Oryctolagus cuniculus: one gene and its partners. The main gene of each other region encodes a partner of the protein of the gene in region 3 in a complex. Links are inferred from orthologs where the notes say so. Each region holds a gene or a part of one and is shown on either strand. Other genes may lie near its edges.

Region 1 (6,071 bases), on a different chromosome or scaffold from region 3:
CCTGCCAACCACGTGGGACACCAGGATGGAATTCGTGGCTCCTGGATTTGGTCTGGGGCAGACCTGTCTGTTGCTGCCATTTGAAGAGTGAACCAGCAGATGCTGGTTCTTTCTCTCTTTGTCATTCTGACTTTCAAATAAATAAGTAAATAAATCTCACTTTAAAAATTATTTTCTTTAAAAAGAGGAGTGCGGAATCTTTTCTCTGTGAAGAGCCATTTGGATATTTATAACATCATTTGCAGGCCATAAAAACTATCAACTTAGAAATTAGCCTGCTACAATTTGCTGAATCTTTATATATAGGTAGATTGAATTTTGAGTCCTGCCTGTGGTTGTCTTGGCCAGGCCACACCAAAAGATGTCACACACCTGGACATTTCCCACCTCTGGTGGCAAACAGATCTCAGTAAGATATATGAAGACTCATAAGACATGGAGAAGAGTATGAAAATTCCAAATTCTTGTCATCATAAAGATAAAGTAATCCAAGTATAACAAAGGTCTTTGCTAATAACCAACTGTGCAAGCATCACTTCGAGATACTCTGGAGTAGTGATCTCTTTCTTACGTTGGTAAAGTAAGTAAAATGTAATACAAATGTAATAAATATTATCAGAGAGATGGGATAAGCAATGTTCAGCTTTAGGTGAGATACAGAAAAAGGTTACAATTAAAAAGAAATATGGCGGTAGACTGGCACTATGGCACAGTAGGTTAAACCACTGCTTGCAGTGCCACCATCCCATATGGGCACCAGTTCGAGACTCGGTTGCTCCACTTCCAATCCAGCTCCCTGCTAATGACCTGGGAAAGTAAAGAAAGACGATCCAAATGCTTGGGCCCCCACAACCATGTGGGAGACCCAAAAGAATTTCTAGGCTCCTGGCTTCAGACCTGCCAGTTCCAGCTGTTCTGGCCATTTGGGGAGTTAACCAGTGGATGGAAGATTCTCTCTCTCTCTAACCCAGCATTTCAAATAAATGTTAAAAAAAAAAAAAAAAAACATGGTGTGGGTATTGTGGCGTGGCAGGTTGGGCCCAGTTTGGGACACCCACAACCCTTGGCTGACATTCCACATCAGAGTGCTTGTTTGACTCCCATCTACTCTACTTCGAATCCAGCTTCCTGCTGCTGTGATTCTGGAAGGCAGCAGGTGATGGCTCAGGTACTGTGGCCACTGCCACCCATGTAAGAGACCCAAATGGCATTCTGGGCAACTGGCATCCGCCTGGCCTAGCCAAGCCTCAGCTGTTGTGGGCATGAGCGAACCATCAGATGGAAGATCTCTGTCTTTTTCTGTCACTCTGCCTTTCAAATAAATTTCAAATAAAAAAGACATACTGATGTGCAGTTTTAACATCACATGTAAACTGCTCGTATCTGTCCCAACCTTAATAAACAGGTATTCTTAAATCTGTGTTGTCTCATCTCTCAATACCCAGCTATATAGATATAAAGGAATCCGTACTGGGAGATAAAAAGCTATTCTCATGATGACTTTTAAATGTTGTCCTGGACTATCAGCAGTAGGAACAGATCTCCTTTCTTCATGCTGCTGTCTAAAAAGGGTAAAATCTGTCTACTGAGGGAGTGGGACAAAGCACTAACACATTATATTATCTTCATGCCATTGTATGTCTCACATTGTTCCTCACCTTCCTGCCCTGTTCACTGCCCTTAGTCCAAAGTCTCAACTTAGCCCCTACCCTCAGCACCTGTTTCAGTGCCCACAGTCAAAAGAACTCCTGCTTCTACTGTTGCAAAGGTAAGGGCCAGGAAAACGTGGAGGTATATTGTTTTGTCCTGAATTGAAACACTGATCATATTTGTTAGGAAACTGGTGCAGTTTTATCCATGGCGCTATCTACACCATGATTTACATCCTATGCCCCGGTTCTCACAGCCATTGCTGAAAGCCATGTAGCCACATGGCCCAACCACCAGTGTCAAGCTCCACCCCCATCCTAACGGGATTCGCTGCTCCTGTTTCCCTGCCCGCCCTCTGGCAAAGTTTAAAAGGGCCTGTTCCTGAACAGGCGGCACTCTTGGCTCTTCTCTCCTGTTCTCTTGGCTCCTCTCGTCTCTCTTCTCTCCTCACTAGCTCCTCTACTCTCCGTGTCTCTTTCTCTTATACTCTCCTCTCCCTTTTTCCCTTCATCACCTCACCCTTCCGGTCTGCTGGCTTTTCTCAATAAACCCTTTCCCTTACTCCGGAGTTTGGTGTGTTTTTGTGACAGCCTAACAGAAAGACATAACAATATTCCCTCACTTAAATTCTGTACAATTTAAAACACAATTATACGTTAAACTGGGGTTAGTATCTGTGATTCAAAAATTAAACTGAGGGGCTGGTGCTGTGGCGCAGCAGGTTAAAGCTCAGGCCTGAAGCGCTGGCATCCCATATGGGCACCGGTTCTAGTCCTGGCTGCTCCTCTTCCGATCCAGCTCTCTGCTATGGCCTGGGAAAGTAGTAGAAGATGGCACAAGTCCTTGGGCCCCTGCACCCGCATGGAAGAAGCTCCTGGCTCCTGGCTTCGGATCGGCACAGCTCCAGCCATTGCGGCCATCTGGGGAGTGAACCACAGGATGGAAGACCTACCTCTCTCTCTGACTCTGCCTCACTCTGTAACTCTTTCAAATAAAATAAAAATAAATCTTTTAAAAAAAGGCAAAAATTAAATTGAACTTTACTGGCAATTTTGAGAATATTATCCTTGCAAACATTTTCAGAATATAAATCTATTCCAAAGGACATGTCCAAAAGTTTGCATGATCTATAATAAAATCACTGTCAAATACTACTTACATTCTTTAGAAAAGAGTCTCTTTCTTTTACCCTGTCCACCTTCTGCACCTCCTCCAATTTCTTCATTTTCTTCCTCAAACTAGAAGTTAAAATGTATATATAGAAATGTCAAGTGATTGCATTGCATTTGATATTTTAATAACTTGCTTTCATTTTTAACACTAATATCAGGCCAAAACGCTTAAAAGCAAGCACTAAAAAATCATGATAACTTAGCACTAAAGAGCCCTTAGAGACTACCTAGTCAAAATTTCAATTCCCGCAAAAATGGTTTCTACACTGTCCACAACAATCCTGCCTAGACACGTAAGCCTTTTAACAGCCGCAAGTTCTTTTTGTTTAAAACCAACTAAGTTGGTCTACTGCTAGCCAGTGTTGCCATTCAAGGACCGATACTGAATCAAAGCCTACCTCCCTGCAGCAAAAAAGGAAAAATTTTAACTAAGCACCTGCTTATACAGTGCTAAAACCTTTCCTTATCTGTTTTAACCTTATTTTATATCAAGAACAACCGATGCTGAAAGTTAAATAACTTGTTCGGTGAGAATGGAGATTTTGAAATCCAGGCTTCTGATTTGTGGTCCGTTATTTCTCCAACACTTCACAATAAATATCCAATTCTGTTAGCAGCTAGATTGTTGGTTCATTTAACGAGCACCAACAAATACGAGTGATTAGCTCTGACGATCGTCTAGTTTCACAAAGTGTCTAGCAGATTCAGCCCGAATCCGAAGGGAAAGGGGCTACCTTCCCACTACTTCACGTCCTGCCCCGGAGTACTAAAACCATGAAGCTGAAGGAAAAGACAAGCACAACTGGTCCCCGAACTCTCTCGACTGAATTCACTAAGGAAAACACCCCATTCTGAACTCTGCTTCCGTCACTAAGCCTGAGCGAAAGGGAGGATTGGGACAAAGGCGGTCACTCACGGTGGGATCTTCTTCCTCATCTGCCATTACACTAGCCCGACAACCTACTGTGCCGCGCCGGCTCGCTCTCAGCGGGTTTTTACTACTTCCGTTGCGTCACTTCCGGTGACGTAGGGGGCGGGGCCGGGTCCCCGCAAACACGCCTGGGAGGGGGAGCTGCCTAGCGACCGCTGAGAGAGACGGTCTGTAGGGTAGCAGCGTGAGCTCTGGGTTCTGTAATCCCGAGGAAGGAACTAAAATTTAGCAAACTGAAAGAAATGCACCAGGCAGTGTGTATCCTCTTATCACCCTACATCTCCTTGTGCGTGTTGAATCCACCTTTCCTGACCTGGAGCGTAGGAGGGCGATCCCGCGGTCTTGCTCTGAGGGGTGTATTTTAAAGTGCAATGAGTTACGCCTGCACTATTGATCCCAAGCACTTTGTTAATTATTGTGGGGTACTATATTTCACTACTAGTTCTCAAGGGGGCGCTATCCTTAGAGACGATTTAAAATTTTCTGGAGAAGAATTTGGGTTTTAACAATGAGAACACGCAGTAAGAGGCTGGAGTTGACATAAAATATCCTGCAACCTAAGGGATGATGCCACACGATAAAAAAGTCCAATAATACACACGATTTCTCTATGTCCTGCTGAACATTCAATGACTGAAAATATTATTTTATATAAACTATTTTTCCCATGCTTTTAATGAACATTGGATTTCCTGTGACTGTTACTTCTTCAAAATTGGTGATCTGTTGCATTTTGCTTTGTTTGGAACTTATTAAGAGGAAATACTGCCACCAAAGGCAATATCGCTTGTAATTTAAATAGTGCTCACCTGGAATCTGCCTACATTTGTAGTTCCTACATTCGAGGTAAATTTACATCTAGGTACAAGCAACCACATTGTTATTATACCTCCTGTGTTGTCATGCCTGAGAATTTACGTGTTAAAAACATATTAATAGGCCGGCGCCGCGGCTCACTAGGCTAATCCTCCGCCTTGCGGCGCCGGCACACCGGGTTCTAGTCCCGGTCGGGGCGCCGGATTCTGTCCCGGTTGCCCCTCTTCCAGGCCAGCTCTCTGCTGTGGCCAGGGAGTGCAGTGGAGGATGGCCCAGGTGCTTGGGCCCTGCACCCCATGGGAGACCAGGAAAAGCACCTGGCTCCTGGCTCCTGCCATCGGACCGGTGCGGTGCGCCGGTCGCAGCGCGCCGGCCGCGGCGGCCATTGGAGGGTGAACCAACGGCAAAGGAAGACCTTTCTCTCTGTCTCTCTCTCTCACTGTCCACTCTGCCTGTCAAAAAAATAAATAAATAAAATAAAAAAAATAAAAAAAACATATTAATAGATTCTTTTATATTTATTTCTTATTTGGGCATTTTTTGATAAGTTCTCATTTTAGTTTCAGGATTTAACAATTTTCAGCATTTTGCCACATTGTATTTTTTAAAGATTTATTTATTTATTTGAAAGGCAGAGAAAGAGAGAGAGAGGTTTCCCCAAATGGCCGCAATGGCAGGAGCTGAGCCAATCTGAAGCCAGGAGCCAGGAGCTGCTTCTGGATCTCCCAAATGGGTGCAGGGGCCCAAGCACTTGGGCCATCTGCTGTTTTCCCAGGCACATTAGCAAGGAGTTGGTTCGGAAGTGCAGCAACTGGGAGCCTATATGAGATGCCTGCACTGCAAGGAGGTAACTTTACCCACTATGCCACAGCACCAGAACCAACCTTGTATTTTTTTTTTTTTTTTAAGATTTAATTTGATTGGGCAGGCACTTAGCCAGTAGGCTAAGCCTCCGTCTGTGGCACCAGAATCCCATATGGGCGCTGGTTCATGTCCAGCTGCTCCTTTTCCAATCCAGCTCTCTGCTTACAGCTTGGAAAGGCAATGACGTAGGGCCCAAGTGTTTGGGTCCTGCACCGGTGTGGGAGACCCAGAAGAAGCTCCTGGCTCATGGCCTCAGAATGACTCAGCTCTGGTTGTTGTGGCTATTTAGAGGGTGAACCAGCACTTTGTCTCTCTCTCTTTCTCTAGCCCTACCTTTAAAAGAAAAAAAAAAAAGATTTATTTATTTATTTATTTATTTGAAAATCCGAGTCACAGAGAAAAAGAGGAGAGATAGAGAGATTTTCCATCTGTTGGTTCACTCCAAAGCCAGGAACCAGGAGCTTATTCTGAGTTTCCTATGTGGATGCAGGGGCCGAAGCATTTGGGCCATCTTCCACTGCTTTCCCAGGCACACTAGAAGGGAGCTAGATGGGAAGTAGAGCAGCACCCATATGAGATGCCCGCACTGCATGCAGTGGCTTAACCCGTTTCGCTGCAGCACCAGCCCCTGTATATGT
Region 2 (6,053 bases), about 6.7 Mb from region 3:
AGTGCCATGAACATCCTGACTCAGGATGAATTCATTTATTTTTTTAAAGGTTTTATTTAATTATTTGAAAGGCAGAGTTACAGAGAGAGAGAGGGAAAAGAGAGAGGGAGAGAGTGAGAGAAAGAGAGGGAGAGAAATTTAACCACTGGTTCACTCCCCAGATGGGCACAATGGCCGGGGCCGGCTCATGGCCAAAGCTAGGAGCCAGGAGCTTCTTCCAGGTCTCCCACGTAGGCGAAAGGGCTGAAGCACTTGGGCCACCCTCCGCTGCTTTCCCAGGTGCATTAGTGGAGAGCTGGATCAGAAGTGGAGCAGCCAGGAATTGAACATGTACCCAAATGGGATACCAGCACTGCAGGCAGCCTACCCAGCTATGCCACAGCACTGGCCCCACAGCGCTGAATTCAATGCACAGGAAAAGTCTCTCTCTGGGGACGAGCGCACAGGTTTCATTCAGAGAAGAAATGGATCCCAAAAGATAAGGAGACCCTGTCCCAGGGACCCAGCTGCTCATAAGATAAAAGCATTAGAAGCACAAAGTCTACCTGAAACCTATCCCAACTGCTGCCGCCTGAGCCAGTCACTGACACCAGTCTCTAGACAGAACCTTCACACTCTCAATTCCAAGATCTTCTCAAGAACGGAATTCTTTTTTTGGTTGGGAATTATTAGTTCATTTTTGGGGGCCAAAGTTGTCAAAGTGCAGTCCGGAAACCCCTGGCAGTCTCCCAAATCTTTTCCAGAGTCTACAGGTCAAAATGGTTACTTTTTAAAAGATTTATTTATTTAGTTGAAAGTCAGAGTTACAGAGAGAGAGAAAGTGAGGCAGAGAGAGAGAGAGAGAGAGAGAGATCGATCTTCCATCTGCTGGTTCACTCTCCAGATGGCTGCAATGGCTGGAGCTGTGCCAATCTGAAGCCAGGAGCTTCTTCCAGGTCTCCCACATGGGTTCAGGGGCCCAAGGACTTGGGCCATCTTCTACTGCTTCCCCAGGCCAGGCAGAGAGCTGGATTGGAAGTGGAGCAGGCGGGACTTCAACCAGCGCCCATATGGAATGCTGCATTGTAGGCGGTGGTTTTACCCGCTATGCCACAGCACCAGCCCCTACAAGTCAAAATTATTTTCTTAACAAAATTAAGTCATTATTTGACTTTTTTACTGTCATTCTCTCATGTACTTTTCCAGGGTTATATGACTTCGGATGACATCACCACTCTGATGAATAACGGAATGTGTGACTGTATATCCTTACATTTTAGAATTTTATTTTCAAATCTGGCAAATATAGGCACATGCTATATATACCTAAGTATTATGCATATGTATAGCATATGTATAACATATTTTGTACACATATAAAAGCTCTTGGGGATCCTCAATATTTGAGTCTGAAAGTGGTTCTGAGACCAAGAAGTGTGAGGTCACAGGTTTAGGAAAACATCTGGTATTAGAAGTTCAAGGGGCAGGCGTGTGGCACAGTGGTTAAGATGCCAGTTGGGATGCCCACAAGCACACACTGGAGTGCCGGGGTTCCAAGTCCTGGCTCTGCTCCCAGTTTCAGCCTCCTGCCAACACACACTCTGGGAGGCGGCGAGTGAGGGCTCTGGAACTCGGCTCACTGCCACTCATGCGAAAGGCCTGGGCGGAGTCCCTGGCTCCTGGGTTCAGCCTGGCCCAGCCCTGGCAGTGGTGGGCATTTGGAGAGTGAACCAGCAGTTGAGAGATCTCTGTCTGTCTCCCTCTCTGCCTTTTAAATAAATAAATATATTTAAAAGTAATATTAAAAAAAAGTTTCTAAAATCAGCTGCAGAAAGTGGCTCCACCCAGGGTCACACCCTACTCAGGGCAGCACACATCTGGGTCTGATCGAGACCTGGGCACAAAGGCGGGGCCTTTTCTCCTTGGCAGACGACAGCCGCTCCAAGGACGCCCACCTGTTGGCCAGCTCTTTGTTGGGTCTGCACTGCACTTCAGTTCTTCTACTTCTTTTCACAGGTGCTGGTCCCTAAGAAATACTGTAGGAATCCCCCAACACCCCTTGTCCAATTCTAGCCCCTAAGAAATTTTAAACAGGCCACAACAGGCTCCTAAGGCTCAGCAATCCCTTAAAAGTTGTTTTTCAGGGCCAGAGTGCTGTGGCGTAGCGGGTAAAGCCGCTGCCTGTAGTGCCGGCGTCCCATATGCGCACCAGTTTGAGTCTCAGCTGCTCCACTTCCAATCCAGCTCTCAGTTATGATCTGGGAAAGCAGAAGATGGCCCAAGTCCCTGGGCCCCTGCACCTGCATGGGAGACCTGGAAGAAGCTCCTGGCTCCTGGCTTCGTATCAGCCCAGCTCTGGCCATTGCAGACATCTGGAGAGTGAACCAGCAGATGGAAGACCTCTCTCTCTGCCTCTGCCTCTCTGTAACTCTGCCATGCAAATAAATAAATAAATCTTTTTTTTTCTTAATAAAAAGTTGTTTTTCCCTATTCTAGTCAACATACCCTCATTCTATCACATAATACAGCACCTCCTTACTAATGTACTAGCATCTATTCCAGGGCGTTAGTCCTGACACTCCCCCCACCCCACGAAGGTGTGAGTCCTCCCAGAAGAGAGAGCAAAACAGCAATAATGAGGGCTCCAAGTCCTCGACAGCGTGCAGCCCCCCAGCTTTGACTGCCGTACTCACAACCCCGCGCGCCTCAATTACTACCCCACTCCACAAAGGAGGGCGTTGAGGTTCAAGAGGGTGAGCGAGCTGCTGGCGCTACGCAGTGGCAGGGGGACGATTTCCAGCCCGGGCTGCGTGGCTGGAAAGCCTGAAGTCTCTCCCCTCCGCCGCCGTCACAACGCAGGGCGCAGAAGGGACGGGGCCCGCCGCTGCCCGGTACTCACAGCTCTGCAGCATCTCCGTCAGGGTTTCCACGGACGCCTTCTCTGCGCTCTCAAACCCGGCCTCCGTCAGCAGAGAGCTCACGACCACCTGCAGGGTTCTCCTCCGGGCCAGGTGGTAGTTGTCGGCAGGGTTGGTGGACTGTTTGCTCCCCGACCTCTGGGAACCGGCAGGGAGAGCAGTGTCACCCCCGGGACAAGAGGGCAGCGAGCAGTCCCCGGATCGTTCACGGCAAGCGCGCGTCCCGTGCTAAACACCAGCGCTGCGACCTGCAAATCTTGGCCGACCGAGCGAAAACCGAGCCGGAGGGCCCCTCCCAGAGACCATCGGCATCCCCCAAACCTAAGGCGCTATAATGCAAAATGGCTGGGGTTTCCTGTTCTGTGTGTTTCTTGTTTTTCCCACACTCTCTACTCCCGCACATTATCAGCACAGCGGAAGAAACACTCGTGACGGGACTCAATTAAACCTAGCTCCCGGGAGAAAAGTAAACGGGGTCTCTATCGTTCGTCATCCCACTTCCACACCGTTTCATTAGCAAGGAGAATTAAAGCAATAACATCACACGGAGCCGAGGAGAGGGCGAAAGACCACAGCACGCCTTGGTAGGGAAGCTCAATATTTTGAAGCAGGAATCCCGCCCAGCTCTGCCTGGCCAATGAAGAGGCGAAACAGTCCTCTCTGGACCAATCAGGAGATGTTCCGGGTTCCCAACCGAGCAAACCAATCAGGACACAGGTTCACCAACTCAGGAGGCCGCCGCCAAGTCCCTCAGAGGGGTGGGCGCGCACAGCCTGAGGGGCCCTCCTCCGGTCGCAGCCCACGCTGGGGCGGGATAGCTGGGCATAAGCCTGCTGCCCAGGCCAGGGGAAAGTTGCAGAGTACCCCAACTCTCTCAGCGCCGGGCCCGCGCTTCTACCCCTTACCGTTCCGGAGCCGCCAGCCCCGGCAGCGGCCGCCGTGTCGGCCATCTTGCCCTGGCGTAACGTGCGTGAGCGCGGGGCGCGATGGGACTTGTAGTCACGGGGCGGGGGTGGGCGGGGCGCGCGCACGCTCCTCCCGGTTTTCCGAAGCCTCGCTGGGTGGGGGTGCGCACGTGACCATTTGTATGCGAAGTGTGTGGGCTTGGGGGGGGGGTGCGAAAATGCTATCTTGGTTTACGCGAATTAAAATAAGCCTGTTTTAATAGTGAATCGTTTCTGATGAGGAAGGATCCAGGAGGTAGTCTACACTGGCAGGGTTTCTCCAAACGTCTCTGGTTATTAGCCACACCTGGCTGGGCCCAGCGCGGTCCTAGTGACCCCACCGTGGGAAAGGGGCTTGGGGATTTGGTTACCAAGCTCCCTGGGTCCTCTTGGGAAACCCTGGGGCATCTGATCTCGTGATTTTGTGCGGCCGTCCGTGGACCCCTTGGGGATGGGCGTGCCTGCTCCGGGCCTGCCTCAGTCCTCGAGCGTCGCGTCCGCGTGGCCGCCGAGGGTCTTGGGGGGGGGGTGTGTGTCGAGGGTCCACGCCGCGCCTGCGCCTTGGCAGGGCACGGACGCTGGGCTTGGGTCCCAGCCCTCGGCGGCTGCAGGAGTTTGGGCACAATACCTAACCGCTCTGTGCGTCAGTCTCCTTTTCTGTGAATCTGGGGGTGGAGGGGTGCTGACGGCCGAGGGGACAACCAGGTAACGACGGCAGGGGACTGTCCCGGTGCCCGACGTGCAGCCAGTTGCCCCACTGTGTGGTGGGCTTCCTGGGTCGCGCGCGCTGGCGGGCCCCGCTAGGCGCCTGCTGGCCGTGCGCACCTGAGCCCGCCGGGGCCCCGTCCCCTACCTAGGGCGCGCGGGGCGGGGCCGGCGGGGGTCGGCACCCGGGCTGCGCGGAGCCGCGCCCCAGCCCCTTTGTCTCCCCCGCCCCCTCTTCCCCACTTCCTGCCCAGCTTCAAACTCGGGATCCGCCGACTTTGTAAACACGCCGCGGTCGCGGGGGCGGAGCCTGGGTCTGTTTGGGCGCCTGGGGACGGGGTGCGCTGCCTCGCCGCGGCTGCGGGCTGCGACCACCCCCACCCCAGCCCCCCGCCACTTCCCGAAGACCGAGGCCAGAGGCGGCGGGGGAGCGCGTGTGCGGCCACCCCGGGTGCTCCGCGGGACTCACCTGCCCACGAGGTAGGCTTGGGGGCTGGCGCAGCGGGGAGAGGCGATGTGGGCATCACCCCCTGGCCCTGGGGCTTCGCGGTTCACGCTAGATATCCTGAGCGGCCGGGGGGGGGGGTCGCCAGAGGTTGGGTTGGGGGTCTCCGCGCCGTCAGCACCTCCCTGGCGGCCCCTCAGCCGGGCCCCTTTGCGCTCCCAGGACGCGCGCGCCGCTTCGCGTGTACTCGAAGGGCGGAGAAGCCCTTGCGCCTCTGCGCTCACCGCCGCCCCCTTAAGCGGACCTGGGAGCGAGGGCGCTTCCCTGGGCTGTTCCCGTTCTTCCTACCCCAGAGCGGGGCGCGAGAGACCGAGGCCGGGGGAGGCCACTGTTTGTCCCGCCGTCGCCTCTGATGGGTGCACAGGGGAGAGTTTGCGCGTCGGCGGTGTGTCTGAGTGTTAACCCGAGGAGTCACCGCAGAAGCCGGTGTAAGGCAGGGGGCACGGAGGGGCCGAGCGTGGGCCGTGCGCCGGCTCTGTGTGGGGTGCCGAGAGTGCGGGAGTGCGCATCCACAGCCACAGCACAGCCCGGGGACGTGCCCAGGGCGGCGCGAAGCGTCAGGGAGAAAGGGAGCTTTGAGCTGGATTCGGAAGGAAGGATGGACAGATCGCTGGGTAGGGACGTTAGTGGGAAGACTGGGGGCACTGCTCATCCCACAGAACTGGACTGCACTCCGCTGTGGGCTACGTGGTGACCCAGCAGCAACTGCTCTCTCTAGCGCACTGCCCAGGTATGAAGAGGAGGTGGGGATGAATTCGAGGAAAGGCAGATGTCTGGGCTGGTTCCCAAACAGCCAATAATGTCCAGCTGGTGCAGCGCCCCCCACACCTGGGCTCCGAGCTGTTTCCTCTGGCAGGTGCTGGCCCTCTGAAACACCCCCCCTCCCCCCTGTCTCTGTTCCCCGTGGGAGCAGACGTCAGTGGGGAGGTGGATCTCCATTGCTTCCCGGCAGATGCTCCGCGCTCATTCCTGGCGCAGGCACTGAGGAATCCCTGCGGCACC
Region 3 (6,155 bases):
GGCTCCTATATCCATGTGGGAAACCTGCAAGAAGCTTCTGGCTCCAGGTTAGGTCTGGCCCAGCCCTGCCTGTTGGGACCTTTTGGGGAGAGAATCAGCAGATGGACAGTCTATCTGTAAAAGAAAAAGAAAAAGAAAAAGAAAAGCCTTTGAAAATGTTCATATTGTTTGAACCAGCAATTATACTTCTAGGAGTTTATTGTAGGAAGTAATGGACAAATATGCAAACATGTGTCCAAGGACACCTCAAAATGTTGTAAAAGGAAAAGACTCAACCCGCATAGTTACAGGATTGGTTACATTCCAGCTGAGCCACATAATGGGACAAATGGCAGCTATTAAAAATGAAGATTCATGGGTGTATCTGCTGATAGGAAAATATTTAGCTGTATACACCAACCACTGTTGAAAATCTGAAAAAGTATATGCCCAATTTATTGTACCCAAACATATATACTTAGAGTAAATGCTGCGATAGCATTAATTTTTTCTATATTTATAATGAGCTAACACCACTTTTATAATCAGAAAATATAATAAAGCTATTTCCATTTTCACAAAAATTATGTCCTAGAGGTAGAACTGTTGATATGAGAAATGCCATATATAATAGGAAAAGCAGGTTATGAAATAGGACTTTTATTTTTAAAAAAGATTTATTTATTTATTTGAAAGGCAGAGAGATCTTCCATTTACTGGTTCACTCCCCAAATGGCCACAAGAGCCAGGTCTGGGCCAGGTGGAAGCCAGGCACCAAGAACTCCTTCCTGCTCTCCCACATGAGTGGCAGCGAGTCCAAGTACTCGGGGCATCTGCTGCCTTCCATTAGCAGGAGCTGGATGGGAGTGGAGCAGCCAGGACCCAAACTGACACTGCAGAATGGGATGCCAGAGTTGCAAGCAGCAGCTTAGGCCACTGTGTCACAATGCTGGCTCCAGTATTTGACATTTTGCAAAACAAAACAAAAACCTTGTAAAAACTTATTAATTTTATAAGTTATATGTGTAGAGAAAACACCTGGGATCATATACATTAAAGTATTGGCAGTATATACCTCTTGGTGGCAGGGCGATGAGTTTTCTTTTTACTTATTCACATTTTCTATACTATAACAATGTATTAATTAGTTTATTTCCTCTTGAGTTAGAAATGTAGAGGCCAAGACAAATTTATTAAATTTGTGTGGTCAGGCTGGAGCTCTGAAAAGGGGAAGGAACAAAAAGAGACTTACTGCATCTTCTGAATCTCATCTTCATCCACTTTCTGCTTCTTCTCTTTCTTTTCTTTGGTATCGATTTTCAGTTTTTTGGCTGCAGGAGTAAGTAATGACGCGTCTTCCCTTTCACCTGCTGTTAAATCGGAGACGTCCTGACTTTTGAGCTGGGAAGATGAAAAGAACTCTATTATATATTTGTCCTACTTTCCAGGCTTGGCTAAGGTTAAGACATCATCCTCATAACACAACAGATCCACTTATTGTGTAGTTTTTTTGTCCCAGAACTGACTGTTCCACCCAGTATAAGATACAGTATCTCTCCTCAAGGAAGGTTAGTTAGGCTGTAGAAAGAACCAGTTAAATAATCTAGTTTTCCAGTTTAGCTATGATCACAGCTTCAGTGTCTGTATACAAGGATAAAGAAATGGCCAAGATCATGAAAACCACTCTCTCCATGGACTCTCTCTCCTGCTCATTCCTTACAGGGGATGTCACCAAAGCCCTCTCCAGCCAGCCAGCTCTTCTCCTCTGGATCCAAAGATATTTTTACTATTGACGATTCAATTTAGAAAGATTATTAAAAAGGAGGCCCTGGAGTGAAAATCTGAGATGCTGGTTGGGATGTCCATGTCCCCTATTAGAGTGTCTGAGCTGTTTTGGGCATTTGGAGTGTGAATCAGCAGATAGGCCATTTTTTTTTTCTAATAAGTACATTCTTTGAAAATCAAAAATATGTAGGGGCCAATGCTGTGGCATAGTGGGTTAAGCTGCTGTCTGCAGCACTGGCATCTCATATGAGTGCCAGTTCAAGTCCTGGCTGCTCTACTTCTGATCCAGCTCCCTGCTAATGTGCTTGGGAAAGCAGCAGAAGATGGCCCAAAGATGGCCCAAGTCCTTGGGCCCCTGCACCCATGTGGGAGACCTGGAAGAAGCTACTGACTCCTGGCTTCAGCCTGGCCCAGCTCTAGCCACTGTGACCATTTGGGGGAATGAACAGGCAGATGGAAGCTTGCTCACTCCCCACCCCCCACCCCCAACTTTGTGATTCTGACTTAAAGAATATTAATAAATATTTTACATACTTACATGCATTATGTTACATATTTAAAGCTAATCCACAGTGCTGGCCCCAACATAATCAATTTTTATCGAAAGGCAGAGTTACAGAGAGAGGGAGAGACAGAGTTCTTCCATCTGCTAGTTCACTCCCCAATTGGTCACAACCACCAGGGCTGGGCCAGGTGGAAGCCAGAAGTCCTACATGGGTGCAGGTGCTCAACTTGGGCCACCTTCAGCTGCCTTCCCAGGCACATCAGCAAGGGCCTAGACTGGAAGCGGAGCAGCCAGAACTGAACCAGTGCCCATATGGGATTCTGGGGTTGCAGGTAGCTTAACCTGCTGTGCCACAATGCTGGTCTTTGATTAATTTTTTTTTTTTTTTTTTTTTTTTTTTTTTTTTACAGGCAGAGTGGACAGTGAGAGAGAGAGAGACAGAGAGAAAGGTCTTCCTTTGCCGTTGGTTCACCCTCCAATGGCCGCCGCGGCCGGCGCGCTGCAGCCGGCGCACCGCGCTGATCCGATGGCAGGAGCCAGGTGCTTCTCCTGGTCTCCCATGGGGTGCAGGGCCCAAGGACTTGGGCCATCCTCCACTGCACTCCCTGGCCACAGCAGAGGGCTGGCCTGGAAGAGGGGCAACCGGGACAGAATCTGGCGCCCTGACTGGGACTAGAACCCGGTGTGCCGGCGCCGCAAGGCGGAGGATTAGCCTAGTGAGCCGCGGCGCCGGCCTAATTTTTAAAAATGTTTCAAAAGCATCATAATTCTATCCTCTGCTGGCTCCAAACTTCTATATTGTAGTGAGCTCCTTTAGTGGACCATGCTAATTATTCAATTCCTTTGCGTCCTTGAGACCCATTTTAACTTTTCCTTCTTCAGCTTTGTCAACTGTCTTCTCTTTTTCTAAAAGCTTACCGTGTATGTTTTGGTGACAAGGCTATCCATCTAACGTTCAGTCCATGAGCTCTTCAGTTCCTTCTGCCTCTAAGATCCTAGAAATTCTCTCTTTAGAAAAGGAACCCACAGGACGCTGAGATTCTGGTCGCGATTGTTGCGCGGTTAGGCAACCCTGCTGAGCTATCCTGAGAGCACAGCTGATGGATTTGGTGTTTTTACGTTATAGAAACCCCTGGACATTAGCACGGAGGACACTGCAGCAGCTGGATGAGAATATGACTTCAAAGTCTCCCGTTAACAGATCTGATCAACTCTGCCTCCTGTAAAGACGAAAGCTGTACTTAAACAACAATTAACTAAGAGGACCTATAGTGCGGTGAAAGGCGCGCTGGGAATCCTGGATTTTGGCTCTTGCACTAAGTCTCGGGATGACAGTACCGACTTCATCAATAGGAAAACCAAGAAGCTATTTAAAATTCACTTAGATGTAGCTTTAATCCCGAAAGGCAAGGACTAAACATATTAAAACCTAATGCTCGAGTCTCTGGAACCAAACCAGCACCACAGTTTTGTTGCTCCTCCCACACTCCCCGGACGGCAGATCTAGAGGGAATCGTGGCGAGCTCCGGGTAACACAATCCCGGCGTATGCCTCCAACCTCAGTCACACTTCTCTGCCTACCTCGCCTTCCTCCGCTGCCGCTTCTTTCAAGTCCGCGTCTCCGTCTCCGTCCGCTTCCTCCGGGATCCCGTCCGTGTCCGCAGTCCCCGGGCCCCCAGGAGCAGCAGTCGTCTCGTCTGACTCCCCTGCTTCCCCACCTTTGTCCGCAGGAGACTCGCGGGCATTGTCCATCACAGCTAGAACGGCAAGGGGAGGAGATCGCGGTGCTGTCGGCCGCGGAGCTCCGGACCTCGCGCGGCACAGTGGGCGCTTACTTCCTGTCGTCGCACCGCGATGTCGTCACCACTACTGGTCCTCGGAAGGGCCATGGGGGGCGCGCGGAGCACCTGAGGGCTCCGTTTGAATCCTGGGTGGGTGGTGCTGGAGAGAGAACGCTGAGGGTGCAAAGTCCCCTGTGGATCCGTCCTTGGAGACCAGCACCTGTGAAGAAGTGCAGTTGTGCTTCCTGAAGGGTTTCTTTTTCCTTTCCGTCGTTCTAAGAATGCTTTGTCAGTTAACCTCTTCCTCAAAGTTGGAGGACCTGGGAGAAAACTGCTCCTTTTGTACGCGGCTGTCGCGTAACCTTGGGGTAGCAAACTTTCAGGCAGGGACTCAACCTCCTTTATTTCACCTGGACAGACTGCGGGCCTGACTTTACATTGAATTGCCACCATTTCCCCTCTACGAATATTTCACGAGCACCTTAAAAAAAAAAAGTCCTATTGCTTGAGCAGTGTTTATCCAACCCATTCATTCACTCCACGAGTGTTGACTGCCTGTTTCTGAGTCCGGAGCAGCGCTAGTACAGGGAAAAAACATTTTCTACCGAATTAAATGATTTTTCCAGTTCGCCAGTGCTGAAAATCGGGATAGGTTTCTCAAGCCTGACTTCTGTTACCCACTCAGTCTCATCATGAGGAATCCCTACAGGGTGGGAGGTCTCTCCTTTGAGCGCTTCACTTTAATGAGCCATTTCACGGATTGGGATGGTGAAGGGGCTAGGATATTTCTGCTTTTAAAATGTCCTGCCTTTTTTCATTGAGGCACGCGGAGGGAGGGGCAGGGCGTTTTATTCACCTCTGTATTACCAGGCTCCCGCACCTGTTACATACTGCTTTATGCTTAAAGAACGGACTTGGAAATGTAGGTGCGTATTACCATATTTCTCTCTTTGTTTCCACACCGCCGGGACGAATTACCGTATTTCCTGTCCCGTGAGCTCCCAAAACCTTTGGAAAAGAAGCGCACTTTGGAGGCGTACACAGGTGGGTCCCCTTTGTCCCTTTCCACTTCTTCAATGGGTACCCACATGGCACTGCCCCATTGACCCCCAAGTCCTGTCCTGACACACCAAGGTCCACCTGCACAGGGACGCGGAGCCCCGCCCAGCTAGGTGGGCAAGGGGGCGGGGCATGGGGGCGCGGTGACGCGTGACGCCGGATCCCGGAAGTGACGCGCTCGTGGGGAAAAGGCGGGGGGGGAGGGGGGTGGTGTCCCCGGCCGGTTTAGGGGGTGCGTTGCCCGGAGACGGAAAGTTTGGGAGCCGAGCCGGCTCCACGGTGGCCCCGGGGTGGGGGGTCCTGGGGTGGCGGCCCTGGGGATGGGGAAGGAGCAGGAGCTGCTGGAGGCGGCCCGCACCGGGCACCTCCCGGCCGTGGAGAAGCTGCTGTCCGGGAAGCGGCTCTCCTCAGGCTTCGGGGGTGGCGGCGGCGGCTCCTCTGGGGGCAGTGGCGGCGGCGGCGGCGGCGGCGGCGGCCTCGGCTCTTCCAGCCACCCTCTCTCCAGTCTGCTCAGGTGGGTACGCGCCGGGGCCCGGCAGCCGCCTGGAGACCCCCCCCCCGCCCGCCCGTACGTCTTTTAGGTCCCTGGAGAGGTCGGGCTCCCGAGACCCGGCGGGGTGGGCTCGCGGCGTACTCGGGGAGCGAGGGCAGGCGGCCGGCGGGACAGGAAGCCGGAGGGGGCGCGGGTCCGAGTTGGCGCGGCGCTCCGCTCTCCTTGTCTCTCGGTCCTGACCCGGGTGCGAAGAATGGTGGGAGTGCCCAGGTGGCCGCTCCGCCGCATGGCACAGCCCGGCGTCACCCTCGCCCGCTGTGGGATGCCAGCTGTCGTTGCTTCACAAAAGCCACTTGAGAGCAAATGATCTGTGTGTGTGTATGGGACCTCCCTCACCTCCTGCAGAAGCTCCCACGGCTTGCAGAATGCCGCGGCTCTGCTGGAGGGGATTCCCTTCCCGCAGGAGCCTGCAGCCTTCCGCCAGGCTGTGCAGAACCTGGCTTCTGTTTATATCAGAATTGTCTCTGGATCGGTCACGTTCGGAGAGTTCGTC

What was found.
Region 1: TAF11 (region 3) and TAF13 share a complex: the UniProt entries of both Homo sapiens proteins name them as parts of the TFIID basal transcription factor complex. The link is inferred for Oryctolagus cuniculus from reciprocal best matches to the Homo sapiens genes TAF11 and TAF13.
Region 2: TAF11 (region 3) and TAF8 share a complex: the UniProt entries of both Homo sapiens proteins name them as parts of the TFIID basal transcription factor complex. The link is inferred for Oryctolagus cuniculus from reciprocal best matches to the Homo sapiens genes TAF11 and TAF8.

Annotation. Positions count from the first base shown.
Region 1 is NC_091438.1:61,354,692-61,360,762, reverse strand, and holds the start of TAF13 (transcription initiation factor TFIID subunit 13), read right to left. Parts: upstream 3,866-6,071; 5' UTR 3,766-3,865; coding exon 3,739-3,765; intron 2,889-3,738; coding exon 2,810-2,888; intron 1-2,809. UniProt on the Homo sapiens protein: The TFIID basal transcription factor complex plays a major role in the initiation of RNA polymerase II (Pol II)-dependent transcription.
Region 2 is NC_091436.1:127,866,892-127,872,944, forward strand, and holds the start of TAF8 (transcription initiation factor TFIID subunit 8), read right to left. Parts: upstream 3,866-6,053; 5' UTR 3,848-3,865; coding exon 3,803-3,847; intron 3,036-3,802; coding exon 2,879-3,035; intron 1-2,878. UniProt on the Homo sapiens protein: The TFIID basal transcription factor complex plays a major role in the initiation of RNA polymerase II (Pol II)-dependent transcription.
Region 3 is NC_091436.1:134,548,958-134,555,112, reverse strand, and holds the start of TAF11 (transcription initiation factor TFIID subunit 11), read right to left. Parts: upstream 4,131-6,155; 5' UTR 4,022-4,130; coding exon 3,851-4,021; intron 1,381-3,850; coding exon 1,232-1,380; intron 1-1,231. Other genes in the region: ANKS1A (ankyrin repeat and SAM domain-containing protein 1A), read left to right, coding at 5,430-5,623. UniProt on the Homo sapiens protein: The TFIID basal transcription factor complex plays a major role in the initiation of RNA polymerase II (Pol II)-dependent transcription.